2 linked regions of the Xenopus tropicalis genome follow. The protein of the gene in region 1 purifies or fractionates together with the protein of each later gene. This does not show direct contact. Links are inferred from orthologs where the notes say so. Each region holds a gene or a part of one and is shown in the gene's direction. Other genes may lie near its edges. The genes, in order: neurog3 and c1qbp.

Region 1 (3,808 bases):
GGTACTGGTACACCACTTATATTACATACTGCAAGAGGCAGTGCTTACTCCCCAAGCACATAATATTTAGTGACACAGTGGATGTTTAATCCACATGGAGTATTTATATTTAACAATTGATAACTAGGCTGGTTATTGCAAGAGAAGGGTTAATGCTTTCTTGGTGGAGATGCTGCAGAGCCAGAACTATACAGGGGCTGTAGGATTACTGTCAATGTTAGCAGTGTTTTGGAGGGGGAAGGAGGTGAAGCAGATAAAACAGCACTTTCAGCTTAAGATCACTAAGGGCAGGGGTACACAGGGAGATTAGTCGCGCCGTAACAAATCTCCCCGCAATGCCATCCCACCGGCTAGAATGGAAATCGTCGGTGGGAAGGCATACGCGGTGCCGCAATTTGCCGAAGTCGCCGACGTTGCCTTGAGAGGAAACTTTGGGCGACTTAGGCAAATTGCGGTGCCGCGTATGCCATCCCACCCCCACATTTGCCATCCCCTCCTTTTGTATAAGGTTTGTCGCGCAGCAACTAATCTTCCCGTGTGTCACTGTCCTAATACTGCACCAACAGTTTAGGAATGGGGATAATTACATCCCAAGTCACCTGCATCATAAACGTAATAGAAATTCCACCTACTCCTCCAGCACTCTGTAAAACATCCTTACGATGCTGCTGATTTTTCCATCACAGTTTAAGTCTCTGTAAATCTGTGCAGGAATTGGATTGACTGGAGGGAGGGAGGTTACAAATTGACTCTCCAGCCAATCTGATTTATGGGCAGCTATACAAGGACCTAAAGGTTTATGGCAAAACCAGCAGCACTAAAACTTGCAGGCATAATAGAAGACGCCTGCAGTGTTGTCTGCACTTTCACTGCCACCAACATCTCTCCCACACAGAGGGACTTCTCTCTAGCCTCCCCTAAAGCCTCACAAAAATGAATAATAAATGGGGAGGATTCTCAGTTTTCTCAAACTTTGTGCAAAGTGATCTGTCTGTGTATACTGCTGTGAAGTGCTGGACTAACAGTATTGTGTCACATTGGGGAGCCCTTCTCCCTCCCACTGAGCCCTTAATGGGATTCCAGCTGTGTGTCTGGTAGTGTGTGTGGGGGGGGGGGGGGTCGTGTGTCTTTCTTGCCTCTGATTGGCCATTTCCCAGCTTGTAGTGATCCAGGCACACTCCACACGAGGACTGATAAGATAACGTGTGCCAAGGGGGCATGCTTTGTATTGACTACCAAATCAGCATTGTCCTGGGCTGCATATATAAAGATTGTGAGAAAGTCTGTTGCTCATCTCTCACACAGTTCAGCTGTACAGTTACCTCGCACCCTTCTGTCCAACGGGACAGGGCAGGCAGCTCACCTTGCAGGACACACAACATACAGAGAACCCACAGTCTTGGTTTTGAGGTATGTACATGTACATACAATTTCAAACTGTCTTTGAAGTTACTTGTCTTATCAAAATCAGCAACTATATTGGATACAAACTGTTGATTAAGTGCAGAAAATCAGTAATTATACTGGATATAAACAGTTACAGTCAGTACCTTTGGCAGGATATTTGGCACTAACTCTAGCCCATAAAATGTGAAACAGCTTTGGACTCTGAGGGTGGGATGTTAAAATGTATCATTTTGTAAAAGCAATCATGTTGTGTACTGACTGCACAACTCGGGCATACTAACGCACAAAAAGAATTTGTACTGTTGAGCATTGAATACTGGAATGTTTAGATTTGTTAGAATTAACATTTTTCCCTTTGGATACTACAGGATGTCTCCCAAGAGTGACTGTCCCCATATGCAGAGGAGAAGCGAGTCAGAGCTTTATTACGAGATTTCGGACAATGAAGTGCCCCCTTTCTCACCCCCCTGCACCCCAGACTCCCAGTTAAGCCTTGCAGAAAGTGAAGACTGCACTTTGGTAGATGGCTACTCCCACCCCAGGGGGAATGAGAGAAAGAAGCAAAAGGTGAAGCGAATGCGATCAAAGGTAAAGAGCAACACCACTGTCATAAAACAGAGGAGAAATCGCAGAGTGAAAGCCAATGACAGGGAGAGAAATCGCATGCACAACCTGAACTCAGCTCTGGATGCACTGAGAAGTGTCCTACCCACCTTCCCAGATGATGCCAAACTCACCAAGATAGAGACCCTAAGGTTTGCACACAATTATATTTGGGCTCTGTCGGAAACTCTCCGGATGGCTGACCAGAGCCTCCTCAGCCCCGAGCAGCAGCACTTGTTGGACTCCTTAAAGAAGCTCCCCAAAAGTTGCCTGATGATGGATCTCTCCAGCCCTACCAGCAGCACTTCCTCGACTGAATGGGACTCTCTGTACTCCCCACTGTTCCAGGATAGTAGCCTCAGCCCCACCGGTTCCATGGATGAATTGATGCCTCAGTCCCACCCTTGCCTAAGACACAGCACTTCAATAGCAGCAGAGTTTGTGTAAAGCTGCCATACAGCTTCCCCTGCTCCTACCCATTGGCTCGTGTGGGACTCTCACCATATAGAGCCACACTACTAAGCTACCTAACGCATCTGCCTTCCCTTTAAATTATATTCTCTCTCTTCTTCCCATATTTGCCTTAACAAAGCATTCTCTACTCTGTGCACTTTGTATACTAATCACCCTTTGCCCCTTAGTTTGACGAGCTCTTATATACGTTTATATCCAACTTTTGTATTTTCTCCAACTTTTTCTTAGTGTGGAAATCGTGTAATTTTATACTGATTTTTTTTGTTTGTTTGTTATGGCTGGTATATGGCTACACAAGCTCTGTCAATATTATGCTGCATTGAAACAAAATGATTTCCCATAATCAATGTACTTAAATTATATAATTTGCTGTTCAGTGTATTTATTATTTTTAAGTCATAAGAAATATATATTTTGTACAAATGATAAGAATATTTTTTTCACACCAGCCAGGATTATTGAACTAAAAAATGCTGGCAATAAAGGTTTCTTTACAAAATATATCTATGGGTTTGTTTGTTTGTGCTTATTTGTATGTGTATTATAATATAAATAGACAAATTATTCACAATACAAAAAAAATCAATGTTAATGCTGCACATTGAGGAGACAAAAAGATGTTCAATGCATGTACACTGTCTCTGTATCCCCCTCTCCTTTATCCCCTAATGCAGGTTACTATCCTCCAGTGACAGATTCCAAACAGATCACAATAATTATTTCAATAACCTTTTTCATCCAGAAAATGCTTTATGGAAGAAGTGATTCATAGAATGTATACATTAACACAAAAATGCATGTCTGTGTAAGCTGTAATTAATAGTGCTATATGATATTTCCATCCTTGCAGGGTCTGCCCACAAATGACAATATAGTCCACTGGTAAAACTGGTAGCACTTGCCCTCTGAACAATATAAGGGCTCTGGTACACGGGGAGATTAGTTGCCCGCGGCAAAACTCCCTGTTCGCGGGCGACTAATCTCCCCGAGTTGCCTTCCCCCTGCCATCCCACCGGCGAACATGTAAGTCGCCGGCGGGATGGCAGACGCGGCGGCGCGATTTCGCGCAAATCGACGAAAAAGACTCCCCGTGTACCAGAGCCCTTAAACATATATTTTCTGTTGCTCGTACTGTACAATAGTCTCTGTTTAATCTCAGTGTACAACTGGTATAAAGTCTGCACTTACTATATGATACAAACATTCTCAATATATAATTGGCAGGGTCTGCCCACAAGGGACATTATGGTCCACCTGTAGAACTCCTATTGTTTCTACCTCCTTATCTGCCGTTTCAGCCCTGAGCGGTTAGTGGCGGATTGTA
Region 2 (4,272 bases), on another chromosome or scaffold:
CCAAATAAGGACTGCTATTGGCTATTTGGTAGCCCCATGTGGACTGAAAGCCTGCAGGAGCCTTTGGTTGGAGTAAAACTTTAAGGCCACTGGGAGCAACATCAAAGGGGTCGGTGAGCAACATGTTGCTTACGAGCCACAGGTTGCAGATCACTGCACTAAGGTGGGCAATATTGGGCTAATTCTATCATTATATATCATTAAATTACAATGAAAAGACTAGAAGTCGTCAGAGCAAGGGCCACAGTGACAAGCCAATGTGGTCTTCAATCCCACAGTAAATTTAAACCAGCCCGATTTCACTGGCACATAAGGCCCCCCCTAAACCAGAGGGCCCACTTTTATGTTATCTTATCAATTTTTAAAAAAAAAAAAGTAATTTTAGTTTGAAAAATGACATTATTATTATTAACATTTATTTATAAAGCGCCAACATATTCCGCAGCGCTGTACAATAAGTGGGTTTTATACAGTGGAGATACAAAGTAAAATATGAAGCAATCAATAACTGATACAACAGGTGAAGAGGGCCCTGCCCAAAAGAGCTTACAATCTACAAATACATGGTGCTGTTCCAATATTTTGCTAAAGTGTCCGTAAAGTGTAGTAAGAGGAATGTACACTGGCTTTACAACCAGGAGCCATATTAGGATATATACCTCAAAGGCAGCTGCTTACAGACGGGAGCTGTTTGTTTGTTCAGGTAGAAGGAGAGCTTTGAACAAACAACCATGTTTAGAAGAAAAGAGCGGCTTATTTGAGTAAAAATAACCCAAATTTCAAAGTCATACTTTATAACTGCAAAAAATAAGATTTTTATTTTTTTTTAAACTGAAACAATATGCAGAATGCCATTTCAGCTCGAGTCCTATTTATTGTATTTATTTTCAGCCAAGGTGTTTTCAGGTGTACACAGTGGGGCAGAATATGCACGCCAACATCAGCAGTGATGTTGCCCCTAGCAACCAATCAGAGCTTTGCTTTTGTTCTCTAACTACTACTTTAGCTACTGATTGGTTGCTACAGGGTAACATCTCCGGTAATGTTGGCTTACACAAAACTATAATAAATATGACCCTTCAGAAGTACAAGCATTGTGTTTCTCCAAGCTGCCAGTCTATGTGACCAGTAAACCACTGGATTCTAATTTCTCATTTCAAGCGTTACAATACAACGTCTATATACAACAAAGGTTTCTCTTCCGAACGTATTCCTTACAGACAGAAGCAATCAACAGCGACCTCTGCGTGTAGCCAAGGAGACCTTGACGACACTTCCTGTGCTCCGCCTCCTTTTCGGGAGGTGAAAGGTCAGGGGTGTCACGGTGTCCTCTTGTCACACACACACGTGGGTATCTGCAGGACCATGTTCTCCACACTGTCCCGAGCTCTCTTATCCGCCACACGGGTAGCGGCCGTACGGCCCCAACAGCTGCTGAGCTCTTTGTGCACCGGACGATCCTTCTCACGCTCATTATGTTTGCTCGGGGGGAATCCGGGGCTCAGGCAGACTTTCCTGCATCCTCAACGTGGCTTCCCGGCCGTGTCCTGTGGCTGTGGGGGACTGCACACTGAGGGTAAGTGCTCTCCTGGCCCTTACATTAGTGCGCTATGTAAGGCAGGGTTTTGGTACCATTCCACAACTAAACTGTGAGCTCTTCGGGACATGGATGTACATTTTTTGTCTGTTCTTCGCGTCTGCCTCCCAGACATTTGTATGCCTACATCCACATACTGAAAATGCTTGTTTTTCTTAATGCTTGTTTCGATATCAGATTATAATATAAATGTTTTTTAAATCATTTTATTTCATGAATATGAGATTCATTATATATGAAAAATAACCTTTCTGTAAATTGTTTTGAATCAAGTAATTCTTCACTAGAGCTTTCTCAAGTATGCAGGCTTTGTGTCATATTTTGGACATATTTTTTACATTGTCGGGTCAGTGTTTCCTTTGCCTAGATGGTATTTTACATTAAATTATCCTAAAATACTATGGGACCAGATAAAGCAGGAATATGCACATTACAAATATTTTATTGTGTCATTGTTGAGATGTGAAATGATTTATTAGTGTAATTCCTGAATGATGTTGCATGTGTGACTTTCAGAGTTGTAAGTCATCCCCAATGGAACCAAAACTGTTTTATATACTACCTTAGTGCTCATTCCAAACAAGATACTGCAAACAGTATAACATGAATAAAAATGTAAGATATAGACATATAAGTTATCGGCAAGTACAATATATTCACTTTATTACAAAAAAAAATTACATTTGCAGGATACGTTTGCTATGTCCCGTTTTCTCAAAGAAAATAAAGACTTAATTCTTAAAAGTAGTATAGAATGTGTAATAGGTGTGCATGATCAAGTTGTTTCTTTAGAAGTCTGAAAGCTGATGCACAGTTTTGAAAAATAAGCTTCAAATCCCCCCTAAAATGTGTTGATTTATTTTTTATATTTATTGTAGGTGACAAGGCATTTGCTGAATTTCTCAAAGATGAAATCAAAGAAGAGAGAAAGATCCAGAAACATAAGAACCTTCCCAAAATGTCTGGTGGGTGGGAATTAGACATCAATGGCACAGAGGCTAAACTGGTCAGAAAAATATCAGGTGAAAAGTAAGTGTACTAATGATGGTTGCCTATATCCTAGCATATAGTTAAATGATATGATGAATCTGCCACTTGAGATAAAAATTATATTGTCCTCTTAAGTAAGCCTTATTTTTTTAATCCCCTAAAATTACTCTAAACAGCCCCCAGAATAACACACGTTTTAACCATGAAAATTGATTTTGTTTTTGTATTACAAGCAGCTGCATCTCCTTTACTGACTTGCTTGTCTAATGTGAAGCTCTGCCCTGTTTAGCTTTCTAAGCTCTCCTCTCTTCCACTATGAAGACCTTAAAGAGGTGCTTACTGGGCATGCTCACTGCCTCTGCACACAATAAAATCAATCAGGCATGAGGTCATAGTCGGAGAGAGGAGTGCTCCGAAAGCAAAAAGGGGAGGGGGCTTCCCCCTAGACAAGGAGGTCATTAAAAATGCTGTAGTTGAACTGACTGTAATAGGGAAACTAAAATTTGGATGAGAGAAAGGTATGTTGTTCTGGGGGCTGTACAGAGTTTTAAAAAAAAAAACCTACTTATTTTGACTTGTTCTTTTACTGACCCAATTCATCTTCCTGGGTTGATGTAGAGGCATTTTGTTAAGAAACATATTCTTGCTTCAGTGATTAAACATTGGACCTCAGATATAAGTGCAGTAGAATACGATTGTAATGTATTCACATTAAGCACAAAACCAGAATAATCTGCTATACATGCTCATGTATAGTCCACTAATATTTTAAGACAAGACAAGGAATTCAGGGGAAACATTATCATAATACCTGATTTATGATTCTTAATTTTACCTTTGCAATAGGCAGTAACAAATGAGAATGAAAATTAAATTGGAAGGAAAAGGCATAATCACTGAGGGGTGTCAAAATATAAGTGATTATTGGTGCAAGTTGACTATATTCCTGGATGGCCAAGTTGCTCCTATTCCTTCTTGGTTTACATTGCATTGTGGGGATGAGGTGATGTTCTCGTAGGCAAGATGTTAACATTTGTCCTCCAGCCTATCAGAACATTGTCCCTTCCCCAAGTGTGCTGTCACTCATGAAGATGTTTAACTTCAAGCCATGCAAGTTAGTAAGGGATGAGCTGGAGGAGGCAGGTGGGCACATACATTACAAAAGAATAACAGCACTAGGGTTTATATATTCCTGTTAAAACCTGGAATGTGCCTCTATCCCATTAAGACTTATTTTCTGGGAGTCTGAAAATATATTAAGTGTAGTGACAGCTTATAGATTACCAGCTAACCATTTAATGGCCAAATACATCAATATAATCAGCATGGTGGGTAGACTGGTGAAATCCTATGTAAACATATTGAAGTAGCATCAGTTATAATTACTTAAGCTTGGAAAATATATTTTGTCTTATTAGGATTGCAGTTACTTTCAACACAAACAATAGCATTCCACCAAGTTTTAATGAGGAGCCACAAGAAGGTCAGAAAGCTGAGGAGAATGAGGTAAAGTTGAACTTTTCTAAATTTTTTGAACTTCAAATTATATATAATATTATGCAGGTGTGCCCCCTGCTATTTTCTACAAAAGTTGATTAGGCGCATAGGCCAAGGATATTTTTAAGTTGGAGCCTGGTGCTATTTTTTACTGTATCAGCAAAAAAAATCTCTGATCAGTATAATAT

The links.
Region 2: the proteins of neurog3 (region 1) and c1qbp purify together in Homo sapiens (affinity purification with mass spectrometry; 3 studies listed by BioGRID and IntAct, counting the BioPlex papers as one, with this or other methods). This does not show direct contact. The link is inferred for Xenopus tropicalis from reciprocal best matches to the Homo sapiens genes NEUROG3 and C1QBP.

What each region holds. Positions count from the first base shown.
Region 1 is NC_030683.2:45,189,113-45,192,920, reverse strand, and holds neurog3 (neurogenin-3), read left to right. Parts: upstream 1-1,194; 5' UTR 1,195-1,410; intron 1,411-1,775; 5' UTR 1,776-1,776; coding exon 1,777-2,457; 3' UTR 2,458-2,987; downstream 2,988-3,808. UniProt on the Homo sapiens protein: Acts as a transcriptional regulator. Together with NKX2-2, initiates transcriptional activation of NEUROD1. Involved in neurogenesis. Also required for the specification of a common precursor of the 4 pancreatic endocrine cell types.
Region 2 is NC_030678.2:105,098,015-105,102,286, reverse strand, and holds the start of c1qbp (complement component 1 Q subcomponent-binding protein, mitochondrial), read left to right. Parts: upstream 1-1,240; 5' UTR 1,241-1,365; coding exon 1,366-1,576; intron 1,577-2,475; coding exon 2,476-2,626; intron 2,627-4,005; coding exon 4,006-4,093; intron 4,094-4,272.